Oryzias latipes: one gene and its partner. The protein of the gene in region 2 purifies or fractionates together with the protein of the main gene of each other region. This does not show direct contact. Links are inferred from orthologs where the notes say so. Each region holds a gene or a part of one and is shown on either strand. Other genes may lie near its edges.

Region 1 (4,977 bases), on a different chromosome or scaffold from region 2:
GTTAGATTAAGATGCAAAAATCTGCAAATCAGGAAAAAAGCACCTTTTTTGCCCTGTCTTAAATTTGATGCTACACAGTTTTTTGTGTAACTGTATTATAAAGAAATAATTATCAACAAATTTAGCATTCTTGAAGTTATGCAAGTGGTCATTTAAAAGTTACTCTCTTTATAAAGTTTTGAAAAGTAGCTACATTTTTCCCACCAAAAGGGTTTCTGAAATTTCACAGAAATTCTGAAGTGAGCAGGAAGAGCCCTTCTATAAGTTATATACAGTGAGTTCATAAGGACAGCTTGAATCTTGCTAATGAGATAGTCTCAGAAATGTATCAAATATGATACGAATGGTTACAGGGTTAAAAAACAATGAATAAGAATAGCTTACTGTATACTAGAGTTTATACTGTGTCTTTTGCACTTGTTTTCAATTTTCCGACTAGAAATAATGCCTCTTTTAATATTTACTCGTAACTTCTATTTATTGATCAACATCTGCAGTATGCATCAAGTATGAGTGTCGACAAGAAAAGCCACCCAGAAAGTTAATACCAATGAGTGTCTCTTCTTCCTCAATTACTCTTCCTTCCTCTAAGAAGTTAAAAACCATCAAGAGAAATAAAACTACACCGGTCACGTGACCACAGAGTGAACAAGACACTCTACTTACGGATGAAGCAATCCAACATTTGGTGTTCTACATTACACGAGAGAACAGAGCAGATCAAAAATGACACAGTTGCACATGGGTCGCTTACTTCATCTCGTTGTGTCCACACACCTTCTTGGACAAACCCAGCAGGTCTTTGGCATACTTCTCTTCAATAGAAGCCCTGAAAGAAAAAGCAGCGCTTAAGAAAGGCTATACCCAAAGAAGATACCGGGACGTTGATTTCCATGCACGTCTTGAAGACAAGCAGCACTTTATCAGCATTTGTTTTTCCACATAATGTTTAGTGCAGAGAAGGTACATTTTAGAGGGAAACGGTTAACAAAAAAGTGCTTTTATTTTTAGAAAAGTACTTTTAGTGAGAGAAATAAACCTGTGGAAAAAAACTACTAGCAGCAAATAACAATAAAACGTATGTAAATGCAGCTACATATGATAAATTATAAACGCTTTTGCCTAATTTTCTGTAATATCTAGAGTTAAGCTTGGGAGCTACTAAAAATATTGACTTAAGCTGAATTTGTACTTGTTCAGATTTAGTATACACAAAGTTCATACAAAAAAAAAAGCTCATCAGTAACAAACAGATCACTTAACCAGGAAATAGTTACTCAGTGTAAATAGTTGCTTTAATGATATTTATACATATATGATCACCAACAAAACTTTAATCAATTTTCTAATTTTTTAAACTTTCTTTTTATTAATGTCTTTACTTCAAGCGTGCTTTGTAATTCTCACTTCTTTCGGTTTGGCACACCACGATGGTTTGCAAAAATGTCCTCCCATGTCGCAAAACACCAAGTTTCACTTTTGTTGTGATATATAATATCCTCCTTTTTATTTCAGAGTTTATGACACAGTTATATACTGACACAATTGCCAGATTTACATGTTGCTACCAATTCATAAACAATAAGCCGACATGCACTCAGGTCTTTGTGTGAAAAGTTAATTATTACAAGAGGAAGAAGAAATGCAAAACTCAAAACGTGACAAACTAAGGTTTTACAGTCCATACTTTGTAAAAAAACAAAAGAAAAAGGCTCAAAGAATTGAAATATAGCATCATCTTTAATAGTTTGATTAGTTGCAAAGCTGTTGGCTTAAATTTAGGGAAGAAATTTCTTTTTACTGATATACATTTTTATATTACATAACCTTTTTTCAAAAAACATTTTTAATATGTGACTTAAAATTTTAAATATATTTTAGTTATGCATTTTATTCACGTTAAAAAGCAATTCCCTGCTGTGAGATTAAAAACTTGATTATTTACTTCTCAAACAACAACTTCACATCTCTTCTTCCTTTTATCATCACTTAAACCCCACTTTTCCTGTGTTAGTCTCACATTAAGTTTAGTTTCATTTTACACAGAGCCTAGAGAGTCTAGCAGGGGTGGCTGTGGTGCAGAGGTGGGGTGGTCAACCTCTCATTGTAACATTGCAGGTTCGGTTACCACATTACCTGCCCAAGACACTGAACCCCACATTGCTCCTGGTGGTTCTTATGCAGCAGAGCCACCACCAGTGTGTGAATGTGCATGGGTGAATGGGACTATGAATATAAAATGCTAAAGGCCTTCTAAGAAGGTAAAAAAAAAGCACAATATAAGTTTACGCCATTTACCATTTATAACAATTTCATGCAAGTATTTTAATGTATTCATTACCTTGCTTTCATGAAGTCCTCGACCTCCTTGCATGTCCTTTTGCCTTCGTTTAGATACTGAATTATGGCATCATAGCCGTTGGTGCAGGTCAGATCTAAGTTCTGTCAGCATCAAAACAAATATGTCAATATTATTTCCATCAATATTTATCAGTAAGACACTACAGGGATGCCTCTTCTCTTTTAAACTGGTTAAACCCGTTTGGAAAGCACATGAGATTATTTGACCCAGGTGAAAATTGGTGTTTTTGAACCGTTAATCTCTATAATTTGGGTCATCTGAGGCTAACAGCCTGTAATCATCCTCAACCATAAAGACTTCCCTCATGAAGTTTTTATGCTTTGCTGCCTATTCAGTTTTTTACCATAGTGGGTTTGGAGTTTGAGTCTTTCGTATATGTCTCAGCTGTGTATTTAAATAAATTAGATGCTTTGAAACTGATCATCAGAAATTTAAAGCATGTCCGTTTCAAAACAAAATTTTAAAATATAAAGAATTTCTTGATAAGGAAATACATGATCATTACTGCTTAATTGAATTTCAGCCTTCTGAAGTGCATTTAATTACCCTGTAATTGTAAAAAAAAAAAAAAATTAGCCAAATTTATCTAGAAAGCTACACAAACTACTCACCCAGAAGAAATCTTTGAAATGAAGATTCTTCATGACTGAAATGTACAAGAGGAGCAACGCCGCAGGCTCCGTGAAGCTCTTTGAGTGCGATTTCCTTCCTAGTTAGTGCCGTGAACGAACCATGAAGTCTGAACTGTACAGTCTATTAACTGGCGCATGCGCAGTAACTTTGACAGGGCTGACTGGAACTCCTCCTGACAGCTCTTCATTGCTGGCAGAGCTGCCATCTAGTGGCTGACTGAGATATTTACTGGACCGGTAGAAGAGAGTGTAATGTATTAGATAAAAGTCAGTGTAGAATAAAATAAATGGTAAATATAAAGAGTGAGATGTAAAGTAAAGCAAATGTGTTAAACTTAACACAGTCATAAAAACTAACTAATAAAAAAGAAATAAAATAAAAGTTTTATTAACACTGATACTGGCAGAAAATTCAGCAATAACTAAGGATAAGGGGAAAGTACCAAATGCTGAAACAGCATTCATTTGCAGTTTTAAAAATCTTGAATCATCTAAAACAGGACAAAATAAAGCCTCCAAAACTAGCAGTTGTACATAATACCTATAATCACAACTTCGTCATTTGAATGCCTTTTTTTAAGAACATATAAAGCTTTGTATTTTCAATGGTAATAAACCACATAAAGTTTCTAAAATCATAAATGGGACCAAAATTAAAAATAAAAGTTTCAGGAGGAGACCTTTTTTTAATCAATCCAAAATTAAGAACCTTCAAGGCTTGAAGTGAGTTCATTTAAGGCTTAATACAAAAATACATAAAGGTTAAAAAAGTCTAGTCTTTAGAAAACTTGATAATGTCTGCATATTGAACTTTTATTGAAATAATTGTTTATAGCTAACCTCTACCTTGTTAATCAACATAGAAAAAAAGGGATTTTGTGATGAAATGATAAAAAAACACCTGTAATGATCTTCAGTTCAAATCTTCAATGTTTACACTGTTTTGACCCAAGATTATTCAATAGTGCATTAGTTTGAGATCTATCGATCTATCGATCTCAAACTTTTGTAAATAATGAATTTGTTCCAGAATCTTTAACAGGGAACAAATTTAAACTTTGTAGACAAAAAAAATATGATTTCTCTGAAACCTAAAGTTTATTTTGTCTAAAAACAAATTACAGGTAAGTTTCCATCAAGGCATGAATGGATATGATCAGAAATCCTGATTTTAATGATGTCTTCAGAAAGACTTTATATTTACACTATCTTATTGGAATAATTTTTTACACAACATAACTTTACACACAGGAGAACAACAAAAAATATAATTACCGATATACACTTCCATCAAATTATACAGTTCCATCAAATTAAAGTCAACTTTGACCCTTTTCACCTTGATTCCATTTCTCTTTTCAATGAGGATTAAGGAGTTTATCTATGTACGTGTGAGCTTTACAGTACACCAGTCCATAATATGTCTTTAAAAGTGAGCATCTTCCACCTTTCTGCTCAAGATCCATCCAGATTCTTTCCAACTCGTGGCTCCTCATGCCTGCAGAGCAGAACAGGTAAAGGTAGCAGCATGCGTTGTAATGAATGTGTTTATCTCCAGGGAACCTAGCACTGTGGGTTGGGGAGACACCAGCCTTCCGAGCACAGAGACCCACAAAAACATCAGCGGACACGGGCGCAAGGACCAATGCAGATGCCACATACACCTTCCGGACTACATCTTGGGACAGCACATAGGCGGTGTCATCGCAATATTCGGGCAGGTATTTGGCAGGGTACAGAGCGGGGGGCAGGTACCCGGGACTCTTAGGGTCCCTGTTAGGTTGGTCTTGTTGAATCACTCTGCCTAGGTACAGATCCTCTGGGTGTCTGTGTAGTCTGAGCAGGTAGCTGCCAAGAGCTGGAAGGTTGACAAACACAGATTCCTTGGTCAGCAGAACAAATCGTGCCAGGGGACAGAAGGAGATCACCCAGCGGAGAGCCAGCACGGTCCTCTCCTTTGAGCCATGGAGGGACCGCTCTGCT
Region 2 (4,397 bases):
TCAGTCCCATGGGTCTCTGTAATCATCTTTCAAGCCGACTCCACTGCGCTGGAGGATTTCTGGGTCCTTTGGGCTTTGGAACGCGACAGTTGAACCCTGAAAACAGATGCAGAGGAACGTGTCTGAGCCCTTCTCAACTATAATCAACGGTAAAAAAGAAAAACAACAACACGAGAGGCGGAAAAAAGTATCACAGAGCAGGAGTGACTGACTTGATTCCCAAAGACATTTAATGTATAAGTGAGGTGGTGGGGGGGGCAGAGAGAGGGGGGCTTAGCCTGTCGACAGCTACCTGGAATGTGGTGAGCTGGGGAGAAGGATCACACTGACTCTGAGGTGTTTGGGGTCATCTGAGCATGCTCCAGAGCAGCAACGAGCAGTTTCTAACCCAAACCTCTCAACTCTACAGTCAAACCTAGGATTGGCTAAATGTCAAATGCGTTTGCTGTTCCAGGTGAAAACGTGTCTTTAGGATGTTGTATTCACTAGTTGGACTGCGACTGGATTCAATTAAATCAGTGAAACTTTTGTGAAATCTCCTCCCCTCCTGTTCATAATGGCGTTGGACTGCTGTGGCGTTCTCTCTCCACACAGTAATGTGTTTTTCACTGTTTAACTCCATAGACATGTTTGCATGGATGGTTAATGTTAAGGAAGACTTTTGTTAACTCCACCCTCCTGGTAATAAAAACCATACATTTAAATGATGAGAAAATGTAAATGAGTGAACTCAGCCATCATTTCATGACTAATAAATAATGCTGCTAGCAGGCTGCAAATAGGTTTATTTATTGTGTAAAACAGAAACTTCTGTGGAAAGCGGCCCTCAGAGGATCCACCTGCTAAAGAAAGGAAGATGGGGCTAGCTTGCTCCAGTAGCTTGTCTGCTTCAATGCTTTTTCTCTAAATGTCATCACCATTTGTTTTTCCTCCTTACTGGCTGTTGCTCCCTCCTCCCCCGTCCTCCCTCCTGCCCTCCTGCATCATCGGTTTGCGACTTCAGTCAAAGTCTAGTCTGTCGTCGTCTGATGATTCTGTGGCTGATCCTCAGCTTTCAGGCTGAGATCCGTGTCTGACGAGACAGTTCCACTTCTGTAATCTATTGATAAAGTAAATCTCACCCATGTTCATGGCTTTCAGATCCTCTGTACTCTCCTTGCTCTCCGGTTGAACAGCATGTTTCTCTTCAGATGGACCCCCACCCGTTCTGCCTCTTGTCTGCATCCTTGTCTAAACTTAGTTTGGTGTTCTGAACAGCTGGTGAAGCGAACAGAATTCACTTAATGTCCCTGTTTGTATTTGTCTGATTTGGTTGAAAACTTCATGCTGTTTGTGTTCAGATGAAACACAGGTTGGCAGATTAACTGAAGCCTCTTCGCAGCTGCTACCATGTCCAGACACACCAGCATCTCTCATCCAGCCCCAGCTGCAGCAGAGGAGGCAGAACTGCGCGGCCTCCTAAAGTCCAGCTTAAAGAAAGCTCAAATGACTTCTGGGACATACTGTCAGATGAATCCTGAATAAGGGCTTCCTGCCCAACTTCTGACATCAGGCCAGAGCAGGGGTCGGCAACCTCTGCCCTTCAAAGAGCCGTTTGGATCCGAAAACACAAAATGAAAACACAGGAGCCACAGCAGAAAACCCGGTGTTCCAGTGAACGGCATCATTTCACTGGTTTCTAAAGTTTCCACTCGTTATTCTCCTTCAACCTCATTCCACATATACTGTCCTCAGAAGTGGTCCTGACTAGTTTGACGCCCTGGGCGAAACAAGATCATTTATTTTACTTTTTTATTAAACATTAGTAAAACATACTTGTGTTGTTGAATTCACAGAAAGTGTGTACCGGTAGTTAGTTCTTAACACGCATCAGTTTGTGTTTCCTTTTTGAAGGCTCCTTCTGGTAAAAATTCCCACATTTTTCTGTTTTTCTTGATCTGAATTCTGATCTGGATTCTTCCTGTCATTTTTCTGTCGGCTTTATGAATGAACATCAATGGAAACTAAAAGACATATTCTTCTTTGTTTGTGCGTCAGTGTCACATCAAACTGAACAAAAAACACAAACGATTGTGTAGATGGCATCTGAAGCATTGACTGTATGTGAGAACAGAGAAGCTTAGATGAAATCCACCAATGAGATGATTAACCAGACTAGTCTGGTTAATCAAACTAGTCTGATTAAGTGCAAACCTTCATTAACCAAATGTTGCTCCAGATTTTTCACCTCTATCAGTAAATGTGGTCGTATTTGGCGCCCAGCGAGTGTTCATTTTGGACCCCGCCTGCATTCCTTTATCCTTGGAGTGTTTTTCTTCTTTCTAAACTGGACACTTCTGTTTGCTTTGATCTTTTGTCCATTTTCCACAACCTTGAAGAGACTTTTCCGTCTGTCAAACACACAGAGTTAAGATGAGGGAGATGGTGGAAACAGATTCACTTTGATGCAGACTCCTGTTTGTACATTTTTTAACTTTTCATGAACTCCAGTAAACCCAATAAATGATATTCATTTATGGATGACAACTATTTTTATTAGTAAGCAGCTGTTAGTTTGTTGTGGGTCTGGTATCATAAGCGGTGAGTCGAAGCCCCGCCCCCGCCTCTCTACCTGTCCACATCCTCTGCAGTTTGGGTTCATGTGTCCCCTACGAGATTACCACTGACTGTCTTTTTACAAGAACTTTCCATCCCATAATAGACTGGTCCGCATTCACAGCCGCAGACACGCCCCCTCCGCGCGTTCACGCTGCTCTCTCCCACATCCTGACAGTGTTAACCCTTTTGTTATCTTACGGGGTCCAGATGACCCGATCCTTGCATTGACGTGTTCTCCCTCCCATGACAAAGGTGGATAAAGGTGGAAAGATTTCATGTAATCCATGGACACCAGTGAAGATCACAAATCATTGAAGAAAAAAGGTTCAGAGCACTGTCTAGTGGGTCTAGATGACCCAACTCCCAACGTCAAAGTGCCTAGGATAGCACAAGGGTTAAAGGTACCATGACAATCTTAGAACAGAGTAGTTATTTTCCAAACCACAGAGAGCTGCAGCAGGGAGGAGCTGGAGAAACAGCTGTAAAAAGAAGTGTGCAGGTCTTCTCACCAAGGCCAACAGGTGAACAGCTGCTCACTGCTCCTGCTGAGGAGGAGAAGATCTCATAATCATTATCCGCTTCTGCTGAAGAAACACTTTCAGCTGCAGGAGAGAAGAGGGACACGGTCACATCCTACACGTTACCCAGCTCCTGAAAGATGCATGAATCCCACCTCACCCCACCCCACCCACCGCGTGTCAGGTGATTCTCCGGCCCCTCCCACGACTGAATGCTTGGCTTCGCTATGTCGTAGATGGGTGTGGCGGAGGGGGGCAGGCTGTGTGGCTTCAGTCTGGGCTTGACTGTGCTGTAGATGGGAGCAGTGGATGCTGCTGAGGGGTCGTTGTCATAGTGATGGGAGAAGGGCAGCGACCTTCCAAAAGAAACAGATATTGACTGAGAATGGATGCTGTTCTCACAGAGACACAGGAATCCCATTAAAAAGAAATGAAAATGAGATTTAAGGGTCCATAAGGAAGTTCTGACCAACCAAACAGGAGCTGAGTCCACATTCTAGCTGCATCATCACTGAGGCAGTGATCATCACACACAGCTCGCAATGGGCGGAGTCTGACCCTCTGCGTGTTCACTGTCACACTAACCAAAAAGGGCTGTGGTTAAAAAACTCTCCAAGGAAAACAGGAAACAAGATGCACAGCAGACAAATCAGGGGCCAATTCGGCAAATGCTGGGGTGCCACTAGTGTGTGGGGGTGGGGGCGCTGGATACGCCCCATCCAAAAGAAGTCTGTCATCTCACATTTACGTGACTCTCTTTCTTGGATAAAGAGTTTCATTGATGGGGTGGGGTTATATAAGTTTGCTTCTTCACACTCCTTTGCAAGCAATAACTCAAGCTCTACTTTCTATATTTAATTAAGCAAATGTTATTTGAGTGACTTTTTTGTTTTGTTTTATTTTTAGTCTTTTTAATCTATGCATTTCAACATTTCTGTAATTAGTTTGATAAAAATGTGTAAATTCTTTATTGCTTTGACTGCAATGCTTGAAATAAATCAATAAATCAAATCAAATTACTGATTTGGTCATCACCCGGCCAATCACAGCCCTGCTCCACGCCGTCAGTCATTTAAAGTGCCTAACAAACTGCGAGGAGCTCAGGCTGATAAGAAAGGTAACCCGGATGAACGGAGCCAGTTCACTGACTGCAGAATCGGTGTCATTACTGAGTAGAAAGACGGGCTAAAAAGACAGATCCTCCAAAAACACTCTGATCTAGAGAAGTGGAACAGTTCAGACCCTGAATAAATGTTCATCTTTAGCATTTGTCAGTCAGAA

What was found. Proteins that work in one complex are often made in the same cells at the same time.
Region 1: the proteins of tyrosine-protein phosphatase non-receptor type 18 (region 2) and pstpip2 purify together in Homo sapiens (affinity purification with mass spectrometry; 4 studies listed by BioGRID and IntAct, with this or other methods). This does not show direct contact. The link is inferred for Oryzias latipes from reciprocal best matches to the Homo sapiens genes PTPN18 and PSTPIP2.

What each region holds. Positions count from the first base shown.
Region 1 is NC_019870.2:8,938,983-8,943,959, reverse strand, and holds the start of pstpip2 (proline-serine-threonine phosphatase-interacting protein 2), read right to left. Parts: upstream 3,112-4,977; 5' UTR 3,007-3,111; coding exon 2,974-3,006; intron 2,443-2,973; coding exon 2,342-2,442; intron 830-2,341; coding exon 755-829; intron 1-754. Other genes in the region: putative UDP-GlcNAc:betaGal beta-1,3-N-acetylglucosaminyltransferase LOC100288842, read right to left, coding at 4,353-4,977. UniProt on the Homo sapiens protein: Binds to F-actin. May be involved in regulation of the actin cytoskeleton.
Region 2 is NC_019865.2:32,087,747-32,092,143, forward strand, and holds part of tyrosine-protein phosphatase non-receptor type 18, read right to left. Parts: intron 3,697-4,397; coding exon 3,586-3,696; intron 3,473-3,585; coding exon 3,291-3,472; intron 3,201-3,290; coding exon 3,108-3,200; intron 97-3,107; coding exon 23-96; 3' UTR 1-22. UniProt on the Homo sapiens protein: Differentially dephosphorylate autophosphorylated tyrosine kinases which are known to be overexpressed in tumor tissues.